Linked DNA regions of Caenorhabditis elegans. The protein of the gene in region 1 interacts with the protein of each later gene in a pairwise test. Each region holds a gene or a part of one and is shown on either strand. Other genes may lie near its edges.

Region 1 (7,377 bases):
TTGCTTTCCGTCTATAACGGATATCTTGGCGAGACCAACTCAGCAAAATAGCGTGCGCCTTTAAATTATCAGCGTAAAATATTGGAAAAAATATATCGCAATTTCGCAAGAGTTTGTCATACGTTTTTAAAGACGCACGGATTTATTCTGATGGATCTCGGAGCGCAAAAAGTTTGTTGTAGTACTTTTTTAAAATTACAGCTGAATTCTAATTTAATTAAGAATGTGAGTATTTCTTGTTTGTTGGTCTGAAAAAAGAGAAAAGTTAATTTAAAAACAGATAAACTTCGCTAAAAAGGAATTTTATTGAAAAATGTAAGCAAAATTACCATGAAAGCAGTTGCAAAAAAACTACCATAAATTTTTTTGCGCCCCGAGACCCATCTGAACAAATCCGTGTGCCTTTAAAAAAGCATGCCAAAATCTTGTGAAATTACAATATAAAAAATAAAAAAAATCCTGAAAGTTGAACTCCTTCTCTCAAAACAAATATTTACTTGAAGCAATCTAAAAATATGAAAAAGTGAAAAACCGACGGAACGGAACATCAATCTGCCAAGCCTTTGAAAATGTATGGAAAACGAGATTGAAATCCGGATTGGGCGGGAATCATGCCATTCAAAAAGAGCGAAATTGTTCTATAATTGCTGGTTGTGTAGTCAATATATTATCCGAATTGATTTTGAAAAATTCATAAGCAATAAAAAATAACGAAAATGGTTAACAAATAATAACAACATTTGGGTGTAATTTTAAAATATGAAAATGATTAATTTATTTTAGGAGAGCCCGTGGCAGTATCGGTGGATTCTGTGTCTAATTTTCCAATTTCTTCTAGGCTTTCTGGCTTTTCTTCCACAACTTCCTCTTTCAATTGAGCATTCTTCCGTTCTGGAATAATTGAAAGAAGAGCATCTTTCCAGTTTTTGTGAACAGAGTAATGAACCAGAATTTCATAGACTTGATTGATAGTGAGTACCTGAAATCAGAAGAATATTATGGGACAAAAATATGGAAACCGATTACCCGTCGAGATTTCATGAGAAGATGTTCATCTAAAGGCAATTTTGCATGACCAAATCCTTTTTCTTGAGCGATTCGATAGCACAATCCTTTTTGAGAATTATGATCCACAATTCCTCCAATTACATACACTTTCGTATCATCAAGATCGCTCAGGACATTTTCAGATTCAGAAGTCAAATAAACTATTTCCTCTGGTTTAAATAAATTTTCCAATTTTTCTTGGTGAAGATGGATGTCTTGATTCAGGTTGTGCTCATTACCATCATAAATCTCAACAAAACCAATTAAAACACTTGTTGTGCGAAAACAAAATTACTTTTCTCGATGGTCCATCGAACCCCACAACATGAAATTGAAATGGATCAGGACTGTGTCTGTTCGCAGTATAACACCATCCGATTTGCTGAACTGTACGTTTTTGATCCTTTTCAATCATCAAATCGTCAAATGACATGTCCAAAGCAATTCGTTGCTAAAAAGTTGTTTTAGTCTAAGGAAATTGTCAGATTTTACCAGTTGAAAACATTTTTACTGTATGAATGTTCAAAAGTTAATGTTAAACAAATTACTGGAATCGTATATTACCTTGCTATTAGACTGAGCCATTGTTCTGAAATCTTTTCGTTTCCTCAACTTTGAAAGATCTCCCGATTCTTTCAGCGCTGCTCGTTTTTCCTTTTTTCGAATTCTTTCCGCTGCACGTTTGACTAACTTCTTTTCTTCCCATTTCACCTTGTATTTTTGACGTCGCAGTTGCTTTTTCGACATTCCCTCTGGTACTGCTGGAATATTATAATTCAATACATACTGATGCAACGGAAAACTCACGTTGGTCTTGATTTTGATGCTCCACATTATCTTCAAATTTTTCGATTGTTTCCTCCGACATAATTTTCCACTTAAAGATGCCAAAATGATATTTAGAATATATTTTTTAATGTTTTCAAAAAAAAAAATGAGAGAAATCAGTGAAATGCAAACATGCTCCAATGACAAACTAACAAACGACACTCCGATTTCGCGTCAAAAATTTTTTCAATTAAAAAATTTATTTCGTTTTTAGGTTAATTCTTTTATTTACACTCATTGCAAAAATATTATCAAGAATGGAGGAAGAAACAATTAAAGTCGAAAATCTGGATGATTCAATTGTATGTTTTCCTTTTAAATTCCAAAAATATTCCATATTTTAGACTATCGATCGAAATCCTGTGCCACTTGCTTTCTGTGCTCGACCAACACTTCCCGCAAAAATTGGAATGAAGACAGAAGATGGAATCGTCGATCAACTTTTGGATCTTGTTGATCCTATCACCGTTGTGAATCCTACTGAAATTCGCCAGGCTCCATCATTGAAAAGCTTCGGATGCGACACTGAAAGTGAATTTGAGTTTTCTGGAGATGATAGCGATTTCGAAAATATCAACGATTTACGAGCCGGTGCACTTGATTCTGATGAAGAGTTTGACAGGCTAGTAAAGTTTTCCGCAAAGATTATTGAGAAGACACACAAGTCAGAGTACCCGGATGAAAATGGAAAAAAGCAGCGGAAGCCAAAAAAGTCACAAAAAACGGTAAGGTTTCATTATTTTGAAATGTTTTTTCGAATGATTAGATTTCTAGCGTAATGTTCACGAGTATGATGATATGCCACCACTCGAGAATCTCAGTATTGAATGTAAAGGACAATTGCTGGAATTTGGTTTTGTAAGCAAAGTCGTGGATTGTCAAGGTAAATTGTCAAAAATGTCAACCTTATATAAAATGTTAATTGAATTGGTATTTCAGTTGTTATCATTTCAACATGCACAGAAGTTCTCGACTTCGATTCATTTCTTTTCGATCAAAAAGGAAATGCGTTGGGACAAATTTATGACATTTTTGGACAAGTCAAAAATCCACAATACGTTATTCGATTCAATTCTTGTGAAGAGGTGAAGCTTTTAGTAGACAAATAAAATATATAACAGAAGTTTTATAGGCATCGATGATACCCATTGACATGAAAGTATATTATGCTCCTACAGAAGAACAATTTTCCAAAACTCCATTCAAAGGACTTAATCTTGCTGCAGCAAATAGGGATGCTATTAAATCCCTAAATCGTCGCATTGATCATCAAGAAGCTGTTGCAAAAGCTGGTGAAACGATGGCTCAGGTTGGCATCGGTAGTGACGTGGAGTTCAGTGATGATGAAGCGGAGAAAGAATTTAAACGCACCACATGTAAGATATAATTGAAATTTACTTTCAAATTCTAGTAATTTTCAGATACCCAACCAGCTAGTCAAATGTCAAGAGGATTCGATTCGAACAGAGGGCGAAAACGAGATCGCCGCGGAGGACAAAAAGTTAGATTTTCTGCTCAGAATCCACCTGCCAGATCGGATAATCTTGGGCCCATCCCTCAGCAGCCATCTGCGCCACCGCCACCTGCTCGTCCAGCACAATCAACCGAATCAAATCCATATGCCGAATTCGGATGTCATTCTGGATTCAACGGACGTTTTGGAATTTAATTTTTTGTTAAAATATCGTTACACATTGAATACTTTGTTGGATATATTGTAACATTTTTTCGTTGTTATTGTTGCACTTTTGGAATTGACGCGTGAATAAACTTCATTTTTACATTTTAAAATCATAAATTGCTATAATATCAAAATGACGAATAGTCATACTCACAACGGAAACCGAATTTGGTTCATCTGCAGCTGGGAAAATGGTCCAATTTGTTATGGAATGGCTCTGTGAGTTCAAATTCTTCGCAGCTGTGAGCTATGCTCTGGAAATCGTATTTTTTCAGTGATCTTATTGGGGGAATTTCTTTGATTGCTTTCTCAGTTCTTCTCGTCGGAGTCATATTTTTCGGATGGTTTGGAATATTTCCAAAAGTTATTCGAGTAAGCTTCACGAGTAATTCTAATTTTTGTATGTTTTCTTTCAGCGTAAACTTCACGATTGAATTTTATATTTTTATTATAACGTTCAGAAGAAGGCGAGGCTCTATTACTCTATTTTAATAAAATATTTGAATTGACTAAAGTTTAATAAATATTATGCAGTGCTATGAAAAACTTGTGGGTAAAGTGGAATAGAGAAAAAAAGAGAAAAGAAAGGAACGGCAGGAAGAAGCTGGCTGAAAATTAGAATATCTAAAAAAAACAATTAATAAAAAAAGATTAACTGGAAGAAGGAAAGCAGCGGGTGGGTTGGAAAAGTGAAAAAAGGAAAGGCAGTATAATAGGAAAACAAGGATTTTTGAAACATAGAAAACAAGGAAAGCAAAAAAAGAAAACAACTGGAAATAAGGAAAGATTTAAAGCTCAGGCTATAATGAGTATGTAATTGAACTGAACAAATTAAAAAATAAAAACAAAAAAGATTCTCCTGCGATAAGACTAAATTACTTAGCGAAGTTAGGACAGGAGCAAACATCGATCAGGAAAATCAAACTTCAGCGATTCGCAAAATTGATGGATATACATATCGAGAAATTTTAAACAGTTTCCGCTTCTTTTTTGTTCAGAAACTTTGTTCAAGAATGTCTAAATTGCCCCCATATATCTCACAATTCAGCGAATTTCAATATTTGATTAGAAAAAAAGGCGCAGTCAAAAGTACCGTAACCTTTGATCATGAAACATTTTCAAGGAACATACTATGTAGAAAACCTAGTGTTAGGTGATTGAGGGAATGACAATAAATTCGAAGTAATGCTATTAAAAACTAAAAAAAAGAAAAGAATCAAAAACTTGAAATAAGAGACCAGAGAAGTAGAGATTCATACGAGATTTTGACACTTTTAGGTATCGAAAAAATTAATCCATGTCACCAGAGAAACCATCATCATCCAATTCATCATCAATGTGTCCACCATTTTTCACATGATTTAATAATTTTGTATTAACTTCAAAGATTAGTCCTTTGTACCGCTCAGGAGAGCATTTTCCACAAAAACCACCACAGTGACCAATAACTTTTGCATTGTTCTTAAAATAGAATAGATTTTGAACAAATTAAGGTTTTCAAAAACTCACATAAAAACGATCGATTCGAGAGGATGTTCGATGACCTTGATCCTCCCAATTCAGATCGTCAACTAATTTCAGACCAGCAGATTTTAAATCAATTGAGAATATTCCCTGTGGACAATCTTTCATACTGTAGCAATCACCGGCAGTACCATATGGCACATGAACACCATATTCTCGTTTTGCAAATGTATAATCCGCCACTGAAAGTTTCAATTTCTGTATACGGGTATTAAATTGTTGATAAATAATTCAGATTAATCAGATCATATAAATTCAAGTACAGTATAAATTACTTACGATGGAACTTTCTATTCAACAAATCTATTCGAACTTTATTGAATCTCGTCAATCCAGCACTTGCATCGCCGTCTTCTGAACAATGGCATGAATCATTACGATCACCATTAAATGGGCAAGTATGAGGGTATATTAATCTGGAATCGCAATTACAGAAATTTGTAAATCTACTGAAATAAACTAACTTTTTTCCATAAACCTCTGCAAAATTGGTTCTTGGATTAACGTTCAAATAAGCTTTAGGAATGGTTGAATTCATTCGATGACAATAAATTTCAATAGTGAATCCGTCAAGAAGAATAGTGTAATTTCCATCTTTAGCCTTAACATTCTGAGATTTAAGCTCCTGACAAGTTGACGGAAGGCCTGAAAAGTTTACAATATTCTATGTTCGAGTCAATTTAAAACTTACAATTTCTTTCAAAACAATATTGAGTTCGACGTGGTTTCTTTGTGGTACACTTGACTCGTTCAACTCGACGACCATCATTGGCCACACACTTGACACGTCGACGTCGAATACCTTGACCGCAATTTTTCGAGCATTCACCCCATGGTCCGAAACTCCATTTGAATTCCGAATCGCATGGGTTAAGTTCGCACGTTTGAGATTCATTTGGTTTTGGGAAAAGTTCACATTTCTCTTTTGGTACAGCTGGTTCATCTTCGAGCATAAATATAATTGGAATGGTTGAGTTAAAATTAATCTTTCTACGACATCTGACTTCTCGTGTCTGTACTCCTTCTCCACATGACTTTGAACACTAAACATATCAATTTATATATTCACTTAGTTCTAGAAAACAACACCGTTTGCCAATCTCCTGGCACCCACTCATATGGACAATTTGATGTATCGCACTCTCTGATCGAAGTTGGTGCACGAGCCAATTCACACATTCGTGGAGCTGCTCGTTTACCAGAAGTGCTTATACAGTGCACCCGACGAGTTTGCTTTTGTCCTCGAGCACACTCATCTTTGCACTGAAAGAATATATGTTGTGAGATTTAAACAATTTATTTTAATGTGTGGGAAAAAGTGTGGACTGGATAGCATTTCTAAAGGATCACCAATACGATAATATTTCATTTTCTTACCAAATCCATTTGAAAACGAATGATGGACTCTGAACATGTTTTTAAAAGCATACATATTTTGAGAGATTTGGGGGTTTTCTTCAGTCAGCAAAAACCGTTGAAAATGGTTGGTAATTGTGTAATAGCTGAGCCCTAATAGGTTTCAATAGGATAATCATAGTAATGGCCTACAAGTAAATAATTATTCAAATTGGTCATATCAGGCTTCCAATTAGCAGCCAGTCATGATTATTTCTAGACAAAAATATATAAATTAAATCCGCTTTCATATTTAAAATTTAAAAGCCTTTTAAAATTTAAAAGCCAGCTACTACACAAATACCAACAAAATCAAAAACAACTAAAATCACAACTCTCACCTTGCTCCATGGAGTAACATTCCATCTATAAGCTGGACAAGCCACTGGGAAACAGTTGGCAACAGAGTTGAGCTTAGTTTTTGGATTGCACTCCGAATCAGACACCAAATTCTTGCGACCACGATAACATTGAACTTCACGACGTCTGATTCCTCTGCCACAGGTGACAGAACACTGTAAATTGATTATTGAAAAATTGAAGTAGCTTGAGAAAAATGTTATCTTTATCTTACCGAACTCCAAGTAGTAGTCTTCCATCTCGGGCAATGTTTAGTACGACAACGAACTTCTTCAACTGGTTTCTTCGTTTGATCACATTCTGTACTTGCCACTGTCACATTTAATGATGGATTTACACATTCGACAACTCTTCGTTTCGTTCCACGACCGCATTTTGCAGAACACTAAATACTTGAATGTGTGAAATATGGAAAATTAAATCGGAAAATTTACAATTTGGAACTACGCATTTGAAAATTTCGCGTTTTACAGGCTAATCTCCGTTTTTGAATCTACTCGAAATATGAAACACATTAAATCAGAGAATCATCGCCCAATTTT
Region 2 (5,981 bases), on another chromosome or scaffold:
TCCTTGCCCAAGTCGACGTCCTCCATGTTTGAAATCTTCTGAAAATGACTCAAAATGAAGATTCCCAAAAAAGGTTAAATGGGAAGAGATGGGAGTGATTTGTGTTCATCTTGGATGGTAGAAGAATCAATCGAAGAACCAACGGTCAATTGACGGCCTCTGTTCGGTTTTTGATAAAAACCGCCTTCAGAATCAGCAGTAGAGCGCGAAAATAAACCTCTTGGGTATCACCCTACAGTCACAGACTACATGTCTTCAATTCTTTTTCGGTTCTTTTGCGGGTGGGCGCGAAAAATATAGGTATGGTATGAGAGAAAGATGTCAAATCACTCAAAAATCAACAAATCAGATATCAAACCTATGTGTTTTACTCATGTTCACCAACTGATTCAACTTAAAATTATTTGGGTCATCGATTGATACTGGATGGTGATGATTTTTAGTGTAAACCTTTTTTTGAAGATCTTTATGAGTTATTTTTCTTTATTGATTTTTAATTTTTAATATTAGAAGACCGGAAAGACTTTATACGTATACGCACTTTAAGCTATGAGTGAAAATGTGCTAACCTTCAGAAAATATCTAATGTAATTGGCTACTGATCATCAACCTTCAGAAATTTATAATCTAATCAAGCGATCAACAATTCGGACAAAAAATCATTCAAATCTATCACATCGACTTTATTTTTGTTTTTATTTTTGCAGATAGTTTTCAGCGTGATATATCAAATATGTGATCAAGATCAACTAAAGTTCATCAACAACATTTGAAGATACTTGTTATGTTAAATCTACTAAAATGTCTGGAAATAATAAATAAAAGCATTTTATAGTTCAGATCTCATGTGAAAATAAACTGTTTTCACAGTCTTATCACTTCCTCAATTTATTTTTTGTCTAGTATCTTGAAAATGAATCAACGTCGATCAATCAGTATCAGTGAGTGACCTTACAAGACAGGTTTCACTTCAATTCTCATAAAAAGAAATACAAGTTGGGAGATCAGAAACTAGTACAATGTGAAAAAGTGTTGCGAGAAATCCTATTATGAAACCATCGAAACTATAAAGTTATTTTCAAAAGCAACGTATTCGCGTTTTCGTCCTCATTTTCAGTTTATATGGGAACTGTTCACAGTTTACAGTGCTGAAATAATCAAAAGTTATATTCAACGATTAAAACAAATTATTTCAAATTAAAGTCAAAAAGTTGCAACTTCTCAGTTTACAGCTATCAAAATTCTTGGAAGTCAACCATTAAGATTGTTGCTCTACATTTATTGAAAACCCCAAATTTTACAGAAAATTTTAAAGCCTATTTATGTGAAATGAAATGGTTTCTGAAATATTCGCCTGACAATTACAAAAATCTTTTGGGGAAAATTTTTGTTTAAAAATAGGAAGAGAAAAATAACTTCGTTTTTGTTTTGAAGGCTATATAGTAAATTGACATCTATGTATGTGAATTACTTCGTCTGACATTGAGAAAAGGTGAGTAAAATGGAATTGTAAATGAGTGATAAAAAGACAAGAATTCGATTTTTCTGTCCTGTCGGGTGTGGTCTGTTTTTCTAAAAGAATTCTAACAAATTTCAGGTTCCGTGAGCGCAATTCGCGAAATGCAATTTGCAACGGAAGGGAAGAACTGTTTATGATTCTGTTTTGGGATACAAGTGAAGAATCAGAAATGCCCTTGTTCCAGAGGCTAATATTATGACGTGGCACTCGAATATCAAACAATGATTAATTGTTCTTTTTGTCCTTTGATTTGAAGGTATTTCTTCGCTTTAAAAACATTTGATATGAATTTCAGATGAAATCAAGTGTGAATAAGTACAGTGCTCCACATCGCATCGTCAGATTTCTCGTAATTTGAATCGTTCGAGAGATATGATTTCTCGATATGCTTCCAATCCTGCGGCTTATGGCCCCAAAAAGTCTTCTGGTCGCCCACCACTTTTTTCTGATCGGGACAAGCGGAATATCGTTTGTCGAGCATCCAATTCAACAGTGACTTGCTCGAAAATAAAGAGCGAGATGAACCTGCCAGTGTATGTTGAGACCGTACGACGAGTTCTTTCGAAGTCCCAATTTATTAAAAGAAGAAAATTGAGAAAGGCTCCATGCGTCACCAAAAAACACCGCCAAAATCGTATCCAGTTTGCGGATGCGATTACAGATATGTGATGAGGCGCGGTTTGATACCGTTTATCCGTCGAAACAGGTCCAGAAAATACACTTACCAACAAGATGGAGCGCCTTGTCACCGCGCGCGTCGTACAATCAAGTGGATAAGTGACAGAGGGCTCCCTGTTCCCGACTCGCCTGCCTGCTCCCCGGACATAAACATAATTTAAAACGTTTGGGGATTCATGATGAGAAAGATTTACGATGGAAACAATAGCAATGTTAACGACCTCAAAAGAGCAATTCTTGACGCATGGCATAAAGTTGACCAAACTCTCCTGGACAATCTTTAACTTTTCATGGATTCACGCGTTTTTGATGTGATTAGTACAAGAGCTCATCCCGTGGATTATTAATCATCTCTTGTTCCTTATTTTTCTAAGTTTTCCTACTTTTCTACCACCTGGCCGTATCATTTTGTGGAGTTTTTTAAATAGTTTTTCATGAAAAAATGTTTTTTTTTCTTTTTTACGAACGCTTCGGGTATATTTCCATCACTTATCTCAAAGCTAGCCAGTACAACGAACATTTTCACATGAAACTATGTTTTGCTATCTTAACCCAGTTTTGAGTTATACCAAAATTTAGGGGTGGCCGTATCATTTTGTGGAGCACTGTATATAGATACGAACAAAAATTAATTTAAAAAAAAACATCAAGGAAAGTTTCATTAAACCGAATCATTGAATCGATGACTGCGAACTTTGAGTACTTGATGGTTCCTCCTCAATTCTAACAAATCGATTCCGTTGCTGGGTGTTGACGTATCTGGAAAAATATCTGATTAGCTTATATACAAGAAAAATTTTCAGAAAGAAATACTTTATTGCGCACGTTTTGTAGTGCTAAACTGATTTTTAAACGAAATTCTAAAATACCTTATGTCGAAATGCAGACCATCCTGGGTGCTGGAATCAATTGGACACAGCCATAATCCCCATCCAAACACTGATTGAAAATTATTATATTTCCCCATATTGTAGTCAGCTGCATTATCAAATCTTAGAAGAGCTGGTTTTGTTTGTTCGACAGTTGTCTCGTTCAATGAGATCAATTGATAATGGAATATGATAAGTTCACCGAGTGGATAGTAACCAAACACTCCGCCGACAATAAAACTGAACAAGTAGAACAAAAACTTTCCCAATTCATCGGTCCATTGTTGATTGATAAAATATCGAACAGCACCTTCTAGTGAAGTGAGCAAATACCAATAAACAAGAAAACTGGTGTAGATAATGTAGAGTAGAAAGTACTTGTAATTGACGTGTGTAACACACATGTTTATCCATGGACAGTGATGATCATACTTAATGCAACACTTCCCACATGAGCTACAATGTCGGGCACGATCCGGTTTGATATGTCCGCACTCGTAACAATACTTGAGCCTTCCCACTTGATCACATTCAGCGACGACTACTTTACAGTAAGTACACATCTCCTCCAAAATAGTATTTTGTTGTGCAAGCTGAAAACTTTGTTGGTGTATTATATAAAGTGTATTTAGCATCCATAAAATAAACAAATAATAATAAAAAACAAAACAATCAAGACAAGATTAAACCACTTATTTTGATTTTTTCACTTTACCTGTTCAGGTGTCGATTTCTCTACCACGTATCGATTTTTCTCCATCGGTGTGACTGCTTTCAATCTATCTTCAAGTTCTTTACTAGGTCGATATCTTTCTGGAACTCTGCCAACTCTCGTGAACAACGTTTTTGCAAGACTCCACATTGACATAACAAACAGAAATGATCCAACAATCAAATAAATGGTTGCTTGAATTGTTGACTGAACGTAATAACCAATTGTCACTGTCACGTACATATAAAGTCTGCAAAAGACCCAGTTAAATGATTCGCAAACAATCAAGAATGACTCACGACCACCAGAGCAAAATAAGTTGAATGAAAAGAAGTACATTGAGACATCTCGTCAAAATCCATCCAGTGATTTTATGTTTAGCGCGGTATTCTCGCACTGCTACGTAAATCTTTGAATACCATGACATTGGTTTTCACTTTTAAATTTCTTGTCTAAATCATATAAACTTTATTTGGTTCAAATCATGTTCAAAAGAACTTACCAAACGACTTCCAAATGCAGAAATGATTGAGAAATATTCAAAAATTGTAAAAAATGTACTGCTGGATTGCGTGAAGTTTTATTTCATTTACCGCAGGAGTAAAAAAATACCGTGGCATTTAGAAATAATGTTTTGTGAAAAAAATTTATGGGACTTTATTTGTTGCTGATTATCGAAGAAATTATTTGGAAGTTAGAAGTAAATTATTTCAAGCATTATTATTATTTATTGTGAAAAAAATGAGAAAATTGTGTCATATATACAGAGAACTGATGTCAAAGTTACGCATTCGATGTCTACTTTCTCTTGCAACACTGTCCATTTCCACATGGAGAATAGTTTTGCTGGCACGAGCAGGAGTTGACTGATTGTGTCTGGCATGGCATCTGGGCTGGTTGAGCAGCAGAACAGGATTGAGAGCATGATTGGGTGCAAGCTGGAGCACATTGTTGCATTGGTTGTTGCTGCTGAACGCATTGCTGTTGGCATGATTGCTGGCATTGTGGTTCACATTGTGCAGATTGGGAGACTGAAGCTTCCAGAATGATTGTGACAGCTTGTGGAGCAGCAGTAGTGGCAACTGGAGCTTGGCATGCAGATTGGCATTGCTGGCATTGTGGAGCAGATGGTTGCTGGCACTGTGGAGTACATTGTTGTTGGCACTGTTGAGTTTGTTGGCACGAAGTCTGACATTGTTGGCAAGCTGGTGCAGATTGCTGTTGACATTGTGGAGCACACTGTTGCTGACAAACTGGAGCAGCTTGTTGGCAGGTATTCTGGCACTGCTGGCACTGTGGAGCTGATGGTTGTTGGCATTGTGGAGCACACTGTTGTTGGCATTGTGGAACTGCTTGCTGGCAGGTGGTCTGGCATTGCTGGGTGCATTGCTGATTGCACTGTTGGGCTGGAACTTGTTGTTGAACACATTGTTGTTGGCATGATTGCTGGCATTGAGGAACACACTGAGCAGAGATTTCCATGTTAATCTTGATTATTTGTGGAGCGGCAGTAGTGGTTGGAGCACATTGTTGAACACATTGTTGCTGACATTGTGGCTGACATTGTTGAATTGGTTGAGTTTGAACACATTGCTGTTGGCACTGTTGTTGGCATTGTGGCACGCATTGAACTGCAGCTGGAGTCTGGACAACACAGGATTGTTCACAGGCTGGCATGCAGGATGGTTGACATTGAACTGGAGCTGGAGTAGTTGGAGTATAACAGGAAGAAGTCTGACAGCTTTGTTGGCATGTAGATTGACATTGACTAACAGATGGAGCAGATTGACATTGGTTCTGGCAAGACTGCTGACAAGCTGGGGCACATTGAGAAGCTTGAATTTGGTAGGTTTGTTGCTGAACTGGTTGGGCACATGAACAGGATTTCTGGACTGGAGCAGTGTTCTGACAGGAACAACTGTACTGTTGTGGTTGAGTATAGGTGGTTCGTTGGCAAGAGCAACTTGGTTGAACTCTTGGAGCACAGCCACAGGATTGGCGTTTATCGCGAATTGTTGTTGCCTGGAAATGATTTTTGTGAAATTTGACTGAAATCGTGGTCAATCGTGGTCGACTGAAATCGTGGAATATATAATCTTATGTCTGCAAGCAATGCTCAAGAAAAACAAATATTTGTTAAATTTGGGTACTTAGCCGATTTTTTTGGATCGCCGCTCAGCCCTGTTCAACAACTATTTAAAAT
Region 3 (6,418 bases), on another chromosome or scaffold:
GTGAGGCTCAGGGGGTTTTGTAGTTTGTAGTCTCTGAGTCTCACCCAATTTTTGAATTTTCTATTAGTTTTTTTGTAAAAAAGTGAAATTCGTTAATTTTTTTGCGTTTCTTGAACATTTTCAATTTGAAACTCGAAAAAATTCGAATTTTAGTTTCAAACACACCCTGAAATTCCGTTTTTGGTGAGGCTGAGCCGGGGTTTGTAGTTTGTAGTCTCTGAGCCTCACCCAAATTTCCATAGTTATTTTAACGGTTTTTTCCTGTAAAAATAAACTTTTCCACTGGTTTTTCCAAAAATATTGAGAAATCTTGTTATTTTTTTGGGTTTCTTTTTAAAAAAATTCGAATTTTAGTTCAAAAAACACTCAAAAACCGATAAAATTCAGCTTTTTGTAGTTTGTAGTCTCTTAGCCTCACCATTTTTTTTTAGTTTTTTAACAGATTTTTTCTGTAAAAATATAGTGAAATTCGTTATTTTTTGCGTTTCGTGAACATTTTCAATGTGTAACTCAAAAAATTCGAATTTTATTTTGAAAAACACCCTAAAATCAAGTTTTGAGTGAGGCTCGGAGCATTTTGTAGTTTGTAGTCTCTCAGCCTCACCCATTTTTCGTAGCTTTTCAACGGATTTTAGCGGTAAAATAGGATTTTCTACTAGTTTTTTTTTCGCAAAAAAGTAAAATTTATTAATTTTTCTGAGTTTCGTAATTATTTTCAATTTGAAACTCGAAAAAATTCGAATTTTAGTTTCAAACACACCCTGAAATTCCATTTTTGGTGAGGCTGAGCCGGGGTTTGTAGTTTGTAGTCTCTGAGCCTCACCCAAATTTCCATAGTTATTTTAACGGTTTTTTCCTGTAAAAATAGAATTTTCTACAAATTTTTTAAATCAAAAATTGTGAAATCCGAATTTTTTTATGGGTTTTTAAAAAAATTCAAATTCTAGTTCAAAAAATACTCAAAAACCGATAAAATTCAGCTTTTTGTAGTTTGTAGTATCTGAACCTCACCGAAATTCCAAAATTTCTCAAAAAAAATTTGTTTTTTTTTGGTTTGTAGTTTGTAGTCAAGAAACTATAGTTTGTAGTGGTCCTGAGCCTTTTTCCAGAATATATTTTTGTAGTTTGTAGTCGCACGTGGAGTCAGAAAGTCCCATTTCGTTTTGATCTTCGAAAAATGCGGGAGAAGAGACGCAGACATCTCATCTCATTTCGTATGGTTAAGAGCGTGCTGACGTCACAATTTTTCTGGAAAAATATCCCCGCATTTTTCGTAGATCAAACCGCAATGAGACAGCCTGACACCACTTGTAGTCGAAAATAGCAAGATTGTTCAAATTCATTAGAAAAAATGTTTTTGTAAGAAAAAAGATTGATTTTTGCATATTAAAAATCTTAATGCTTAAAAAACTGAAAATTTTCCAATTTTGTAGTTTGTAGTCTCTGAGCCTCAACCAATTTCTTCTTTCAGGTCGTCGTTTCACGTTGGTACGGTGGAATTCATCTTGGACCCGATCGTTTTCGACATATTAATAATTTAACTCGGCAAATTTTAAGTGATAATAATTATGGACCGAAGAAGTCTTAAAATTCTATATTTTTTAACGTGATAATTTTTTTTTCTTCAATTTTAAACTCCCTACGTGTGCTTTTAATATTATTAATCCAACAACTCTTTCAAATTGTAATCATTTTCATTTATTTTTCAAAACATTGGTCACTTTATACTAATAAATAGTTTTTCAATCAAATATGCGTTTTCTGATGGAGTTGGGCTCACCGAACGATGCAAACTACACTGTATTCTGCTGTTCTCATGTCGTTTTGGCTTTTGCCATTTTTATGGTAATTTTTGGAAGTGTTCTGGGATAATTTTTGGAATTTTGGAATTAAAAAATTTTTTGAAAATTTTGGGAAAATTTTTTTTTTTTTCAAAAATTTCAAAACGTTTTTTTCACTTTTTTTTTTGAATTTCAAATATTTTCCAGATCCTTGACTTTACCCTAACTCTATTCTCATTTGGCTTAGAGCTTTTCCTCATTTTCGTAAGTTTTTCTCCTGAAAGTTCCCCTCAAAATCCCCAATTTTCCTGCAGTTCCACGACACTTTTGACCAATTTTGGGCGATTTTTCACGGAATTTCACTGGTTACTTCAATTTCCGCAGTTTTGGCGATTTGTGTGAGTATATTTGGCGGAAAATTTGAGAAAATCTGAAATTTTTGACTTAAATTTTAGGAAATTTTTTTTCTTAATCTGAAATTTTGAAGCTGTTTTCCCAAAAAAATCAATAAAAAAGCCTACGATTTCCATAATTACCAAAAAAAAAATCCAAAATTTCCTCATTTACACTCAAAAAAACCGTAAAACCCCGAGATTGAAGCTCAGACTACAAACTACAATGTTGGTTGAGGCTGAGCGCAGAATTGTAGTTTGTAGTCTGAGCCTCACCCAACATAATTATATTTCAGGATAATCCAGTGGCAATTATTGTTTATGGGTGTCGTGTTATGTTGATTTTGGGATTCGTTACAACTCGGTTCATGTGAGTTTGACTACAAACTACAAACTACAAACTACAAACTACAAACTACAAACTACAAAATGCAAACTACAAAATGCAAACTACAAAGTACAAACTACAAACTACAACTGGGAGGAACAAGCTTGCTGAGACTACAAACCACAATTTGGGGTTGCAACTCAAAAAGTTGTAGTCTGTAGTTAGTTTGTAGTTTGTAGTTTGTAGTTTGTAGCTTGTAGTTTGTAGTGTGCACTCTGTTTTTTGTAGTTTGTAACTTGCAAGTCATATTAGAAACATATTAGCAATTTTCCAAAGTTTCAAAATTCTCACCTAATTTCGCAATACCGATATCAGTACAATAAGTCTTATGGAAGTTGTAGTTTGTAGTTTATAGTTTGTAGTTTGTAGTTTGTAGTTTGTAGCCTGCAAGTGATGTTCGAGACGTATTGGCAATTTTCCAAAATTTCAAATTTCTTACCTAATTTCTCTAAACCAATACTAGTGCAATACGTGTTAGGGAAATAGTAGTTTGTAGTTTGTAGTCTGTAGTATGTAGTTTGTAGTTTGAATTTTGTAGCTTGAAAGTCATATTCGAGACATATTGAGGCTTTTCCAAAATTTCAAATTTCTCACCTAATTTCACAATACCGATATCAGTGAAATACGTGTTAAGGAAATTGTAGTTTGTAGTTTCTAGTGTGTAGTTTGTAGTTTGTAGCCCTTCCAACCCATTTCCAAACTTCAGAATCTCAATGCGTGATTTCACATCAAAAGAAGAGCCAACTCTGAGTGAATTGTTGAATTTATTCCAAATCGTGATTGTGATAATGTACACAATTGGCATTTTCCTAGTGATTCGTCTATTTACCTATTCAGCTGGAAGATATCGTGGATATTATGACGTGGATGATGATTTGAAAGACGAAATTCGAAAGTATGTTTTTAGGGATTTTGAAAAATTGAAAAAAATACGTTTTTTTCAGAAAATTCCTGGAGTATGAGGCGGATTTGGATGAGAAATCAGAGAAGAAGGATTAATTTTTTTAAACTTTTGAATGATTTTTAATAAAATGGCTGAGTAGTTTGGGTTTTCAACCGGAATTCAAATTTTCCTTCAATTTTTTTCTTTCTGCTCATTGAACAGGTCTCATAAGCTCGAGAAACTTCTGGAATGGATAATTTTTTGACTCTGTCGAAAAAGTGTCAATATTAATGCAAATTATGAAAATTTATTCTCAGAAACAATTACAATCATGTATTATAAACGTTTCTGCCATTCACCAAGCAGTCGGTACAACTTTTTTTTACCCAACACGATTCCGGACTTCTTGCTCCAGCGCAGTTTGCAATCCAACCATCACTTCTCACATCTTTATCACAAGTTTCCGCACATTTTGGTCTTTCAGCTTTTGGACGTAGTTCAGAACACGCAATACGGCAATAATCGTACCGATAGGTATAGGCATTACAGGCCGAGAGGCACAACAGCAGGAATAGTACGATTTTGGTTATCATTATGATGAAGTAGAATATGGTGATATTTAAAATTTTAAAAACGTGGAATTTGAGTTATTCGTTTTTAAGACAATTGTTATGCTACTTAGGCCCCGTCAACTGTCAATGTAAACAATTATGTCTAGACCGGAAGCTTATCAGCTGCACGGCCTGTAATTAGGCTCCTCTGACCAAAACTACAGGGGTAGGCGGCTTAAAACCGATTTAACCGAATTCGCCGATCGGCTAACTTGGCTAACTCGGTTAATATTAGCTAATATTAAATAATTTTTGTAGCAATACCAAAAAATTTTTGTCCGAATGTGCCAAATTAATTTATTGAACTTCATTGCAACAAATTACCCTAAAAATTGTGATTTTCTTATTAGACAACCCGAGTTATAAGGTATTTGAAAAATTTGAGAAAAAATAAAGTAACCTTACTTCAAATTGTCATCCATGGTAGAAAATGTTTTCAAATACAACAAATTCCATATAAGTTTCTAAAAAAATTATGAAAAACTGAAAAATCGTCCATGATGTCTAATCCTTTCCAGACGGCCAAAAAATACTACCTGCATGCATTATTTGTAAATCGACGCTTTAATGTTATCTAATTATCGTGATGTCTTTTTGCAACAAAAAAATCGTCCATTAAGTCGAAGAAAAGAGAAATCGATTTTTTAACAATGCAAACTGATTTTTTTCCAAAATGTGACAACAATCAACCATTAATACTGTTCAAGCTATCCACCAAACACTGCTTACACTCAGGCCGTTTTTACACCTTTTTGCAGGCATGGTATTAATTTGTCTACAATGAGACCTAAGTCTCTCGTGCATTTTGACTCCATTATAATCTGCTCATTAATATAGTACAAAGAATTAGGGTTGTGTTTACCCAGGTGCATTACTACTGTTTTATTTTCAGCTAGTCCAAGTTTCCATTTTTCATACCAATCAGTAATGATAGTAAGAGATTTTTGGAGACTAGCAGAGTTTTCGCTGAAGATCTTAAGATCGTCAGCGAAAGCAACTACCGAGACATCTGGGGGAAAAGATGATAAAAGATCATTTATATAAAGAAGAAATAGGAATGGGCCCGTTACTGCACCCTGGAGTACGCCTGATATATTGGAAAATGTATTATGTGAAATATAGTCACCTATCTTGACTTTGAATATTCTGTCAGAAAGAAAAGCTCAAAACCATGCAACAAGATTATCATTTAAACCAAAATTATGTAGTTTTAGAAGAAGTAGCTCATGTGGCACGGTGTCGAAAGCTTTGCGGAAATCTATGAGAATTACATCAATATTTGGGTTTCACTAGGCACTTTTGATACGTAGATAAGGCATCAATAAGAGCTAACGGGCATGATCTTTTATTCAGAAAACCATATTGAAATTTTGATATTTTATGACCAAAATCTCTCATAAGTGAATGGAGTATTATGCGCTCAAATAGACGGGAAAGGGGATGTGTTAGGCTGATAGGCCTAAAGTTGGTGGGGTCCGTAATTTTACCTTTCTTATGCAATGGCACAACAATAGAAGTTTTCCAGCAAGACGGAAATGTTTTGGATGTGAGAGATTCGGTGAAAACTAAGGAAAGGGGGACAGTAATTGAGTCAAAACATTTCTTAATGATGAGGAAGTTTATATTATCTAGGGAAAATCCTACTTTAGATTTTAATTTTTTGATAAAGTAAGCAATTGCAAAGGGTGATAGGTCAATTTTGGTATCTAGAGGTTGCGATGCAGGTAGAGCGGGAAAGTGGGGTGATGGGGGGGCTGAAACTTTGACAGAAGGTATTTATGAATTCGTTAGCAAAACCAGGGGGGTCTCTGATTTGGCTTTGATTTATCACTAAATGTGATATAGAGGTTTTGGAAGTTAATTTGTTTCGAATGAAACGGTATAATTCTAGTGATTTAGATTTGTAAATGATATTATTCTCAAATCTACTATTCTTTTTTCGTAATCTTTTGATATATTTATCAACTTTCATTTTGATCTCGTCAGCTGAGGAAAACGGATGCTTTCTTTTGAATTGCTTGTATTTCAGCAATACAGTTTTTGTTTTCGGCTTTGAGGGATCATTTTAGGTGTATACATTTCAATAAGTTCATTAAACACCTTAAGAAAATGATTTAGTTTAGATTCAAAACTGGAAAAAAATTTGTTTGTTTTGCCCAGTTAAAAGAATGCATATGAGCATTTAGTGATATGAAATCGCATTTGCGATAAGCAAGTGTTGTTTTCGATAAAGTGCTATTGATTTCCTTGAAGTAAGGTAGTTCTAAAACAAAATTAACTGAAAGATGATCAGATTTCAGAAAGTGTGGACGTACAAAAACAGAGTGACATGAGCTTTTGTCATTGAAAAATAGTACATCTAG

Evidence for each region. Proteins that work in one complex are often made in the same cells at the same time.
Region 2: the proteins of spe-29 (region 1) and spe-10 interact in a two-hybrid assay, tested with the Caenorhabditis elegans proteins (one study listed by BioGRID).
Region 3: the proteins of spe-29 (region 1) and spe-38 interact in a two-hybrid assay, tested with the Caenorhabditis elegans proteins (one study listed by BioGRID).

The regions. Positions count from the first base shown.
Region 1 is NC_003282.8:9,930,221-9,937,597, forward strand, and holds spe-29 (uncharacterized protein), read left to right. Parts: upstream 1-3,659; 5' UTR 3,660-3,689; coding exon 3,690-3,775; intron 3,776-3,831; coding exon 3,832-3,928; intron 3,929-3,972; coding exon 3,973-3,990; 3' UTR 3,991-4,102; downstream 4,103-7,377. Other genes in the region: trmt-10A (tRNA (guanine(9)-N(1))-methyltransferase), read right to left, coding at 770-979, 1,027-1,296, 1,343-1,498, 1,612-1,808, 1,855-1,915; F25H8.2 (H/ACA ribonucleoprotein complex non-core subunit NAF1), read left to right, coding at 2,133-2,177, 2,220-2,600, 2,650-2,758, 2,815-2,960, 3,008-3,251, 3,297-3,544; gon-1 (Peptidase M12B domain-containing protein), read right to left, coding at 4,847-5,017, 5,066-5,262, 5,360-5,496, 5,545-5,725, 5,772-6,123, 6,170-6,343, 6,817-6,990, 7,050-7,220.
Region 2 is NC_003283.11:10,382,572-10,388,552, reverse strand, and holds spe-10 (Palmitoyltransferase spe-10), read right to left. Parts: upstream 4,304-5,981; 5' UTR 4,281-4,303; intron 4,231-4,280; 5' UTR 4,206-4,230; coding exon 4,078-4,205; intron 4,029-4,077; coding exon 3,782-4,028; intron 3,660-3,781; coding exon 3,067-3,659; intron 2,957-3,066; coding exon 2,869-2,956; 3' UTR 2,813-2,868; downstream 1-2,812. Other genes in the region: Aminopeptidase-like protein AC3.5, read right to left, coding at 1-26; pqn-2 (Prion-like-(Q/N-rich)-domain-bearing protein), read right to left, coding at 4,577-5,800. UniProt on the Caenorhabditis elegans protein: Involved in spermatogenesis, specifically in the morphogenesis of fibrous body-membranous organelles (FB-MO), which are Golgi-derived organelles used for transporting sperm-specific components, in spermatocytes and in their localization into budding spermatids.
Region 3 is NC_003279.8:10,961,660-10,968,077, reverse strand, and holds spe-38 (uncharacterized protein), read left to right. Parts: upstream 1-1,695; 5' UTR 1,696-1,764; coding exon 1,765-1,845; intron 1,846-1,988; coding exon 1,989-2,045; intron 2,046-2,095; coding exon 2,096-2,179; intron 2,180-2,469; coding exon 2,470-2,543; intron 2,544-3,267; coding exon 3,268-3,456; intron 3,457-3,505; coding exon 3,506-3,560; 3' UTR 3,561-3,606; downstream 3,607-6,418. Other genes in the region: impt-1 (Protein IMPACT homolog), read left to right, coding at 1,472-1,588.